2 linked regions of the Daphnia pulex genome follow. The main gene of each other region encodes a partner of the protein of the gene in region 2 in a complex. Links are inferred from orthologs where the notes say so. Each region holds a gene or a part of one and is shown on either strand. Other genes may lie near its edges.

Region 1 (4,904 bases), on a different chromosome or scaffold from region 2:
ACCTGGACCGGACGGAATAAACTCACGGCACGTGGCGAATTATGACTCCGCACATATCAAAGAAAGTGCGGCCATTCAATCCACGTGGAGAATAAAGGCGGATGAGGCCAATGAACATACCTGGGCGGAACATTTTTCGATTGATCGGATGTTGTATAATCGCCAGTTAATTTGATAGACCGTGTTTACGTCAAATTTGATAGTCGAGGGTATAACCCAATGAACCGTGAGTAATAACACATGTGACTACCAACGTGGGTGGTGTCGAATGACAACACGGCGGATGCTGTGAATTTCCGATTTGCCTCCGTCCATTAGTAGATCTGCTGATGTGCTGCTGTGAATAGGCGAAAGCCAATTATAAATGCACCAATCTTGCACACCCATCCGGCGTTGACTGCACACACACAAAAGAGCACGAGGCAGATCCCTATTTCGCCACGTGCGCATATGGGCACCCTATTAGCCCATCAGATTGCCCAGCAGTTAGCGATATCATTATTATTAGATATTCTTTCGCTTCGCCAAAATCATTCCAAACAACAACATTTTACCAATACGGCGAATAATTCCATGTCAATGCGCATTTCGATTATATCGATCCAGTGTGTGTTACATACCGGCGTCACAAGTCGTTGATTGATATCCAGAATGGGCGACGCATTCGTCGCTCTATTACTATTACGTCTTCGTCGTCTGGAATCAATTATTTGGCTTCATCCGCTTCGTATTATATTATAGTTGTACTACGTACGCCCGTCCTAAATCAAGAAAAGCCAATTGCTTTTGTCCTTCTACAAGTTGCCGGGCATTGAAGGCGTTCACGCCATTGTCAAAGTGTAATTGAAAAATAAATAGACGACGTTATAATACTCGTATCGTTTGATATCGTTTTCGCCAAATGCGCAGTTGGCCGTCAACGACACCTAATATACCAACCAATCGATAACTTAACGGCCAGACACAATACCTGCTCCTACACTAGTTTCAAACAGAGGGAATTAAATGATGTATAAACGGATATTCGCAGGGGGGGAAACAGCCCCGTTTTGTTGGCATGGCCACCAGGAGGAAGATGAAGATTATACAACAGGTGCTGGGCAATGTTCATGTCGCTCCACGTGAGTTTTACGTCAATATTTGAATAAGCAACATCTGTAGTGCTGGGCGGTGGGTACAGCAGCCAGCCAACATGCACCAGTCCCGCTATAGCCTCACGGCGGAGCACGCGGATCGGCACGCGGACATGAATGCTTCCAGCGGCTGCAGCAGTGGGAGAGAACTCGATTGCCGTCGCCCAGAAATATTCAAACAGCCAACACCAGATACACACACACTCACTCAGTACAATTTTCCTGGTAGTTCAGATGCACGTTGAATGTCACGTCAAGCACATTCTTTCTTCGAACGATAAATAAGTTAGTTTTAATTTGGAATAACTAAACAACTACCGAGCAATCAGAAATCGATACCATTTCCATTTTGGAAATCATCTAATTGATCAATGATCATTGAATTAGCTTCACATTTGACACAAATTCAATTGTGACATTCGTTATAAGTTGCAGACGACCACTGGGAATTGAATATTCAAATATTTCTTTGCATGTAGATGATGGCGTGCATCACGCGGCCGCAAAAGCTCTTCTGGGAAACTACCCGCTTCGCTTTGAAAAGGAAAAAGCTTTGGGAGTGACAGATCACATGGCAAGAGATTCTAGTGTCCCCACTTTTCGATCGATAAAATCCAGGCCAACCGGACTGGCAGATGGAAACATGACGAGAAACGTCTTCTTTCACAGGTAAAAAAGATTTTGTTTAGGAAATCAATTCAGCATGGTCTGTTTTAATTGAGGATAACACTTGTTGACATTTGTTAAAAAAAAAAACACACAGAGATGAATGAATACAGTATTTAGAAATGTTATCAATTGTTAGCAGCAGCAGATGTGGCCACCTTCTGCTGAATCATTTTGCCCCATCCTCCTCTGCCACCATCAAAGTCAGTTCGGTATTCATCTCTCACCTGCAAAACAGAAATCCATTAGTTGAGAACAATAAGTTTGAGCTGACGAAATGCTGACCTGTCCTCCAGTTTTGCCTCTGCCATATTGCCTTCCTTCAATGAAGCCAGCATCCCAGTCAGTTCTCACAATTCTGTCATCCAGTCTTGTCCCATTCACAAACCTGATGGCATTTTCTGAATCATTCCTCAGGTAAAACCTTGAAAGATAATTAGAAATAATTAAACACAATTTTGTTATTGGATTTGGTTGCAATGACTTACTCTACAAAACAAAATCCACAAGGGGTCCTAGTAAACTTGTCCAATCCCATGATGATTCTCTTGACATCGCCACATTTCCCAAACAATTCATGGATCTAAAATATTTGAAAAGATGAAATCAAATGGAACCAATTGTTGACTTGGAAGTATTTAACCTGTTCTTCAGTTGTGTAAAAGGACAAGTTTCCAACATACAGGGTGCAAGATTGACTCAACAGACGCTCCTGCTCTACCCGGGAACCCTGAAAGATGGAAATCAGTTATTTTGGCTTGAAATATCAAAATATTTTTAATTATTAAGGTATGCATTTCCATTTAAACATTAATTGCCTCAAAACTGTATATTAAGTTACATTTTCAATTCTGCTATCAACTCATGAGGCTTACTTTGAAATGTTGGTCTCGGTATGTGCTTGGAACCGCCATTTCTACGAATTATTTCGGGAGAACCAATCACACCGTTCACCCCAGTGTCTTCCGAATTAAGTGTCCTTGTATTCAGCCAATCAACCGGCTAAACTTTATGCGTTTTAAATTACTAAAATTGGTGTGGTTTTTTTCTAAAAAAAAGTGTGCGTTGACACAACAAACCTGACGCGAGTGACTTTCGAAAAGATGCTTATGGCGGCCGCTAGGTTACGTCACTTGCTAGAAACCCATTCCGGCGTTAAACTACAATTAAAAACCAAATAAAAATATGACACACTTTCGCAGATTTTTTCAATAATTTTTTAAAATCTCAATGAATTTTATCCAAATCTTAATTAACTTAACAGGTTTGTTTTGTAAATGTCAAAATTTTTTAAGTTATGCGAGTCATGCCTAGATGGCTCTTTTTATTCCAGACTCTTCTTGATTTTGCTAGTAAACAGTTTCATTGACGTCTGCTTGCCCCATGCGTTCACGGTTTAACTTGCGTACTGCGTCTTATTCTTCATAAATATATAACAAGTTGTTGTTGAGATCCTTAGCAAAACAATGGAACCCCCACGACAACCAAGAGATATGCAAGGACTTTTAAGATTTGCCATCGAAGGCACCGCAGCTGAAGATCGTACCACAACCACATCGATGAGTGAAGAAAGGAGACGCTGGTTAGAAGAAGCTCTAAGAGGATTGTCAGTCGACGTTGTAGCCGAAATATCAAAATCGTTAAATATCCTCAATCCAGATCGAGTCGAAAGTCCTGAAGAAGATCCCCAGGAGATGGAGGAAGCATTGGAAATGATTACTGACTTTGCCGATTCCATGGACACGGCTAATGGTATGAGATATCTTTTTTTATTGATTGAATAAAACATTGACACTTGTTTCGCTTGTTTCTCCAGACTTTCACAAGATAGGAGGATTTTTCATCCTCATCCCCTGTTTGAATTCTCCCCACGATGGAGTTCGTTGGAGGTGCTGTCAGTTGATTGGCACCCTCACCCAGAACAACCCATACTGCCAACAGCATGTGCTCAACGAAGACCTATTGCCAATTTTGCTTAAAATGCTGGAAAACGATGACTGTGAAGAGGCGAGAATCAAAGCCCTGTACGCCATTTCATGTAATGAGCAGATTTACAACTCACACTAAGGGAATTCAGTTAACAATTGATTGATTATAGGTTTGACAAGAGAATGTGCAGAAGCCCAGGATGCATTTGTGCATTGTGATGGTTTCTCGTCTTTACTGAGAGCACTGCAATCATCACTCGGGAAACTGAAAATCAAGGCTTCATTCTTGTTGACTTGTTTATGCAATGAGAATCCATCCTTCAAAGGTTTTATTCACATTCATAAGTTTCTCCATTTGTACTCTAACCAATACCCTGTTTACTAGATACTTTATGTAATATGGGATTTGTGGAGCAGTTTGTGGCTCTGCTTCAACGAGATCACGACTCGACTCACGAACATCTACTGGCCGCCTTGCTGGCACTTACCCAGAGCCACCCCCCATCGATCGAGGAGTGCCGTAGATCAGAGTTTCTCTTTCGTGAATTTCTCGACAACCGCATCGAATTAATCGGAGATCGCGACGAATGTCTGGTAATAATTATTAGTCAATACTTGAAAATGAAATCGAATTTTAAACTTTGAATTTTCATTTGATAGGAGGAAGCCGAGTATTGCCGTACTTTGTTGTCGGTGATTTTCAAGGAAGACATTGTCGAAGACAGGTGAAGTTATTGGCATTCGATTGCTGGCAATAGAAAGAGAATTTAAAAAGCAAACAAAGAGGCTCATGATATGGAGGCGCAATACACACACCGACGTCCTTTTGATAATCTTTACGTTTTTGTTTGTTTACTCTCTCGTGAACCATCGAAGCGTGAACGGTGTTCTCTAATTTTGTTATCGTAATCTACCAATCCTATTGATCCTCAAGATTGTTGTGGTCATTACAATCCTAAAGAATACATATGTATTAACAAGAAGGTCTCTGCTGAAAAAGTTTGTAGGTAACAGGCAAAATTTAATTGTTTTAAATGCATCAGTTAAAAATAAGAAAAGAAATTAAAGCGATTGTGAAATGTCCTCCTCCAACATCAATCCAGTAAAATGAGTAAAGTGGCGATAATCGTCGAATAAAATCACTCCCTTTGTCGGAAGCATTCGCCTTTTACGACGG
Region 2 (6,475 bases):
CTAATCTTCCCGAAAACATGGTAAAACTCATGAAATCGAAGAAGAAAATCACTTACCCACGGCCTCTGCCTCCGCGGTTATTTCGTCCGCCAAATCCGAAATCCCTGCCTCCTCCTCCGCCAGCGTTACTAAAGCTATTGATCTGTGGCGGTCCTCCGAAACCACCTCCACCATAACCTCCTCTTCCTCCACCGTAATTGAAAGCACCATATCTAATTTGAGAATATGAAAGAGATTAACAAACATATTTAATAAGAAGGAAATTATTATCACTAACCCGAAACCTCCAGGTGGACCGAAATGCTCGCCTCTTTGGGACTCATTCATTGGCGATGGTCTCACCCCGGCAGCTCGATTTCCAGGATGCTCGGGCAATTGCGGCCTTTTAGGGTCACGCAAGTAGTTGTTGAAATATTCAACATCCTTTCGCACCTCATCAATCTTTTCAGCATGTTTGTTAAAAACATGTTTGCGAACGAAATCCGGACCCTTAAACTTTTTGCCAGATAGAGGGCATAGCCATTTGTCTTTGGCAAGTTCCTGTGTGTTGGCAGCAACGAACTTTTCGACCTCGCTGAAACAAAATGTATAATTATGTAAAATGTCGCAAGAAAAAGTAATAAAAAAGAATTCCTTACGCTTTCGATTCTTTCAAACCCAATTTACTCGCTTCTTCATCACTTAGCCGTTTGATTGGCTCCAGAAATGATGCAATCTTATTCTCGAAAGATCGACAATAGTCATTGATTTCATTTTGGGTAACCTACATTCCGAATAAATACATGTTTCAACTAAAAAAACAACATTCTTTTTAAATTTATGCTTTCGCACAGGCGATATTACTTTGGATGACGGAGGAATTCCACGAGCATGCATAATGCCACATCGGTTCGGCATTTCATCTTCATTCGGATATTCGCAATGATTGTAGTAATCAACCGAGTGAACAATACGCAAGTAGAAGAGCAGACGATCCAGCACTTTAATAAGTTCGTCGTCTCTAGTCAATCCTGCAGCTGCTTCAGCTTCTTCGCCTTCTTCATTAGCTGAGGCACCCAAGAGCTCTTCCTCTTCAGCAGAAGCTTCTTCGATCAAAAAATCGGTTATGTTGTTCAGAACCGGGTTGCGACTGGTGCCAGAGAAAGTAAGTGTAGAATCAGCGACCGAAGAATGTTTAGCTTTATCATTCTCTTCCTCAGCCCATAGTCCCAAACGTGCATCTAAGTTTTGGATGATTTTGGCTGCTAAACGAATGTCGTTCCTCACAACTTGTTTATGCGATGTTATGCCACTAACGGTACGGATGCGACGACTTAGATCCCGGTTCACAATGGCTCCCAATTCGGTGTCACGTAGCTAAAAATTTAAAAAAAAAAAAAAAAAAAAAAAAACAGTTAATATTACCCATTAGTCATACAGTAATTAATTGTTACTTATAGAAACATACTCGAATGTTGTTCAAATTCCAACAAATCTCTTTGATGTTAACATTGCGCTCAAACGTCACCCAACCACGGCGAAACCATCTGCGTTCTGGCTGAGGATCAGCAATAGCAGCACGTAAAAATCCAGGATACCGTTTGCACATCTTCATTAAACAAAGCTAAAGATTAGAAAACTGAATCTAACAAAAAAAATTAGAAACTCTCATTACCGCTTCGACTTCCAGTTTGGTAATGGTAGGTGCCAAATTACGGAGAAATATGGAGGCAGTCCGATGCAATTCTCGGGGAAGAACTGGCCCGCCATTTTCCTTTTTTTCTTCCTCCTTGCTTTCATCTTCATCAACTTTTTCTTTGGCATCATCTTTTACTGGAATTTCATCAGCTGCTTCGGTTTCCCTAGGACTACCCTCACCACCAGCTGGCTTACCATCAGGGCTTTGAGGAGCTTCAGATATTTCCGATTGTTCCTTTCCTTCCCGCTCCCAGTCGCTTCCACTATCCGATTCAAATCCGCTTCGTTTTCTTTTGCCACCTATAAAATAAATATAAAAAATACTGGTAAGGCAGTGCGTCAAAAATTAATAACAATGAATTCCTACTGTTATTAGGACTTTTTGGGTCAGAGCTAATTTCCATTTTGGAGTCCTCGATCACACCATCTTCTTTAGCATCGTCGCCTTCGCCCAAATCATCATTTTCTTTATCTTCAATCTCCTTGATAACCTTCTCTTGGATTTTAATAGGCTGCTTCAATTATGAAAGTGAAATGATTTTTAAAAAATCAGTTATAACCAATTAAAGGAAATTAAATAGACAAACCTTATCGGCGGTTGGTTGAGGAGGGTTGTCAAGGACCTGAAGATCTAACTCATTCCCACCTTCGAGTTTAATTACCACGGTGTCAAGAAGTTTTACTAGCTTTTCTGACTGATCCGCATCGATAGTCACTTGATCAAAAGAACCCTCAGCCATTAAATCCAAAATAGTTTTCATGCGTAACTATATTGAATTAATTGATTAGTTACAACCAGAATCTGTCAAAATTAGAGACAACTTACTTCAATATGAGCTTTATGCTCGTTCTTCCGTTTTTGATTCTCTTCCGGGTGATATTTCAACTTAAACCTACATTCGTTCGAGGAAAATATAATAAAACAAATTAGTAACAGAATTAATGTTGAAAACTTCGAATTAAAATAACCAGCTAGGGACCACACTTTTCAAGAGGCCAAGATTTCCCTCACCTGTTCTCCCGGTACGGATTTTTTATAACCTAGCTACTAACTGACCACTGCATTGCGCGCAGTTGAACCCTACTCTAACGCACACTTTGGAGATCTGTTCATTTCATGTTCACACAGTTAAAAAATTGATTTTCAAGTAGCTTTTGACAGATGGTATGGCACCTTATAGAAAGGTCGGAGATGGTTGAAATAAACGGAGGGACGTCAATAGCAGCTATGTCAATCGGCTGAAAAACAGGGGGGATTAAATATATGTAAATTGGTTATCCGAAATCCGATTACACGCGGCAAAACTTATAAATAATTTAGTTACCAGAAAAATTCAATGCAATACACAACACACAAGTCTTTAAAAGAAAACTTATAAGAAATTCTTAAAATATTGATTAAATTTGATATTAACACTTGTAAAAACAAGAAAAAAAACAAGCAAAAACATACCACTCTTCATCCTTGTGGCTTGTGAAAAATTCATTCAGCTGCTGACGACGAAATTCTAGCTTGTACTCGGCATACTTTTTAACTGCTTCTTCGTCAGAGATTGAATCATCGTGGGCAGCCAGAAAAGCTTTAAAGGACATCATTGGTGGTTGAGTAGGAAATTCTTCCCCTCTGGAAAATCAGGCATTATTTATTATTATTATTAACCCTACACAACTAACAATTACCATAAAAACATTACCTTGAAGAAGATCCACTAAAGTTTCCAGCGTTTGGTGGAGTATTAATGACTGGTTCATTCTGACCCCATGAAGAGCCAATGTTGGGCCCATAACCAGCATCAAATCCATAGCGCCTGTCTTCCCTAAAACCATTTTACAAGATTAATAAATGGCAGCATAATATTAGTATGAAAAACATACCAGTCAGGCCTCATCCTTTTTGGAGCTTGTGGTGCATCATACCCACCTGCTGGGCTGTATCTTTCACGACCTCTGTAAGATTCGCGATATTCGTGACGTGGTTGAGAACGAGACCCTCTTTGAGACCAAGATTCACCTCTTCTCGGTTCCATGATGCCTCTACTTTGAAACATGCATTGGACTAAACAGCTTAAAAATAACAGAGCATTTGTCAAACCAACCTATCATTCCACTCTTCTCTCCTAGGATTGCCTCTTTCTTCTCTCCTTCCAGATTCTCCAGCTCCCCGGTACTCACTTCGTTCTCCTCTAAACTTATCCCTTCTGCGACGATCATAATCATCATCACTGTCCCCCATGGTACAGGTTGGTGACCTACTTCTTAAGCTATGGAGAAAAAAAAGAGGAAACTTTAGTTTAATGTTTTATAATATTAAGCATCAATTAATCAACTAATAAGTAAAAGTACTGCCAACTAAGTGGCAATATGGCCGAAAATGCAGATGATTTTTGATAAGAACAATTCGATGTACCGGCATACTCAAATACCAACGCAAGTAAAATAAAAAACTTAATTTCACACACAAAGTTACAGAACTCGCTATAAAACTATTGATGTTCATAAATTTCATATCTTCTTCGAACTTTACCCAAATTTGCGTTTAGTTTGATTTCGCCACGCGATCAGAAGAAAACTGAGAACGCCGTTGCCCGTTGGTGCCAACGAAAGTTTGAGGAATACAAGTGCTGTCGCCTGCAGGGTAAAACTGTTACTGCCTTATGATTTGAATAATCAGTAACTGAAGAACATGGCTTGGGCTGAGAGACAACTGACAAGCGACATAGGCTAAGGCCGCTAAGCGCTAAGCTAGTTAATTTCTTGTAATAACTAATAAGATAACAAAAAAATATATTTTCACCAATGTTTTTTTCTAATAATTGGATCATTTATGAATTAAACTTCTAATGTACCTAGTAAGAAAGTAGTCTTAAAGATTTTTTTATTAACACCATTGGCAAAAGCAAGATTCAACTAGCTATTACATTCTATTATTTATTTTGTATTTGTTATGAATTTTATATTTTAATCCTAATTATAGCTTTAATTGATCTAATGATAAATTAAATTGTCGTGGCGCCACATGCTAGGCTAAACCATCGCACCGTTCGTAGTGTGTACACATGCCGATCCCTTGCTTCGCGCGCGAGTTTCCCGATAGGGTGTTTTTTTCACGGGGTTTAGGTTTTTTGGGGGGAATTTGTCAATATTTCCACCAATCATCAATTTCTCATTTTTCCACCAATCAACAATTTCTCATGAATCATTTTAATGGCATTAAAATAGATCATGAATGTGGAGAGAACCCTTATGATGCAGTGTCATTTGCTGTGAAATCGGCCCTTTATGCAACATAAATTCCATCTATTAAAATATCAACCATGGATGGATATCAACATGAACTGGAGGTATTCAATAACACTCATACTCAGGCTCATCGTTGTCGAAAAGCACTTGGAGGAGGAATGCGGCAGGCGGGTATTTTGGCCGCAGCCGGAATTTTGTCACTTTCAAAGGGACCTACCAGGGTAGCTCAAGATCATATTTTCACCAAACAATTGGTCAATTGGCTGTTACTGCGCAAGAGGTTGGAAAAAGCGTTGTGGAAGTTGATCGATATACCGTAGAGACGAATATGGTTATGCTAAAAGTCGAGCCCATATCAGGTGCTACCCCTAATTCAATTGTGAAAAGATTTGCTGAATCTACTGAAAAGGAAGTTCACGGGATCGGTCAAGATATTCGTTGGCTTGCTTACCCGATGACTGAAACGAACATCATAATTGTTGTTCACTGCAGTAACCCACCTGAAGACATCAATCTCGCTCAAGACAAATAAGGGTATGTTTTTGATGAAATCAATCAAAGTAACGCTGTATAAGTAAACTGGAAGCTTCATAAGTGCTTTATTCCATGTAACGATCATTACAAACGTAGTATTGTTGTAGATTGGGGAATTAGTGGAAGAGCTGTTCTTTTGTTTCTATCAGCCGTTACTCGTCTTCTATTCATGTGTAAAAAATGAATACATTGTTATTTACCATTTCGTAGTTGTCGTTATGAAATCATGCGTTTTATAGCGCTTTTTTTAAAACTACCTTAAGTCATGTCGCATATCTAATTAGGTTTTTTTCCCCCAAGAAGCCAAGCACTTCCACTAGTGGTTAGATATTATACATAAATACAAAGCTCGAGCTTCGAATTCAAGCAAAACGTAACACGGCGTACAAATGTAGGGAAATTTGATTAACTGCTTGGACGTGTTTATTTAATCTTTGCTAGTAAAAAAAAAGAGAGGCCAACACCCAAGCAATAAAAGTAAGCCAGCAGTTACACACGCACGTTACGATATTGATTGGTTTCAAACCTTCTCCTTCTCCGAAAAATGCTTCATCGTCGCTCTCAAACGTGTTATCGGGCACCTTGTAAAGGCGGATGACGGGCTTGTTAGGATCCTTCACCAACAAATATTTGCCATCCTCTTCCTTCATACACAAATCATTAATCCAACGGAGAATGCCCCAAGCATTGTCGATATTAAGGTTGATTTGCGATGCGAAATCTGACAGGTGGAACTGCTGTGTTCCAAGGATTACACGACGCGATGTATCTCGTAAGTGCATACGTGAAACATATCTGAAGCAAACAATATTAGTTACAATAATGTTCGAAGGACAACAGGAGCCTTCACATACCCGAATTTAATCCAATCAGAGTTGGCGAGCAGAGCTTGCACAGTCCATTTTGCTAGCTTGCATGCATTATTCTTCAGCTCGTTGGCCTGAACAGCACCTCGCTGAGTGTCCAGTTTCTGGCGCCATTCGACTTCACCAGACAACTTGAAGTACAAAATTATTTTAAAGAC

Evidence for each region. The genes of interacting proteins can lie anywhere in the genome.
Region 1: the proteins of serrate RNA effector molecule homolog (region 2) and nuclear cap-binding protein subunit 2-like are in contact, whole or in part, in a cryo-EM structure (PDB 8PMP), measured with the Homo sapiens proteins. The link is inferred for Daphnia pulex from reciprocal best matches to the Homo sapiens genes SRRT and NCBP2. Residues at the interface, in NP_056992.4 of Homo sapiens: Asp857, Arg859, Ala860, Ile861, Val862, Glu863, Tyr864, Arg865, Ala869, Asp874; in NP_031388.2 of Homo sapiens: Ser48, Phe49, Tyr50, Thr51, Thr52, Glu53, Gln55, Lys67, Met71, Leu73, Met76, Lys77, Lys78, Thr79, Ala80, Tyr89, Asp107, Glu121.

What each region holds. Positions count from the first base shown.
Region 1 is NC_060026.1:16,275,911-16,280,814, reverse strand, and holds nuclear cap-binding protein subunit 2-like, read right to left. Parts: upstream 2,910-4,904; 5' UTR 2,714-2,909; coding exon 2,675-2,713; intron 2,530-2,674; coding exon 2,443-2,529; intron 2,383-2,442; coding exon 2,288-2,382; intron 2,224-2,287; coding exon 2,085-2,223; intron 2,027-2,084; coding exon 1,928-2,026; 3' UTR 1,831-1,927; downstream 1-1,830. Other genes in the region: hsp70-binding protein 1-like, read left to right, coding at 3,266-3,551, 3,616-3,837, 3,898-4,053, 4,113-4,321, 4,388-4,456. UniProt on the Homo sapiens protein: Component of the cap-binding complex (CBC), which binds co-transcriptionally to the 5' cap of pre-mRNAs and is involved in various processes such as pre-mRNA splicing, translation regulation, nonsense-mediated mRNA decay, RNA-mediated gene silencing (RNAi) by microRNAs (miRNAs) and mRNA export.
Region 2 is NC_060024.1:617,558-624,032, reverse strand, and holds the start of serrate RNA effector molecule homolog, read right to left. Parts: upstream 4,360-6,475; 5' UTR 4,202-4,359; exon of another isoform or gene 4,085-4,201; intron 3,939-4,084; 5' UTR 3,911-3,938; coding exon 3,774-3,910; intron 3,715-3,773; coding exon 3,553-3,714; intron 3,495-3,552; coding exon 3,372-3,494; intron 3,302-3,371; coding exon 3,131-3,301; intron 2,571-3,130; coding exon 2,504-2,570; intron 2,445-2,503; coding exon 2,265-2,444; intron 2,193-2,264; coding exon 2,045-2,192; intron 1,978-2,044; coding exon 1,655-1,977; intron 1,589-1,654; coding exon 1,448-1,588; intron 1,357-1,447; coding exon 844-1,356; intron 764-843; coding exon 639-763; intron 575-638; coding exon 278-574; intron 213-277; coding exon 57-212; intron 1-56. Other genes in the region: uncharacterized protein R102.4-like, read left to right, coding at 4,992-5,197, 5,305-5,449; eukaryotic translation initiation factor 3 subunit D-like, read right to left, coding at 5,889-6,246, 6,306-6,448. UniProt on the Homo sapiens protein: Acts as a mediator between the cap-binding complex (CBC) and the primary microRNAs (miRNAs) processing machinery during cell proliferation.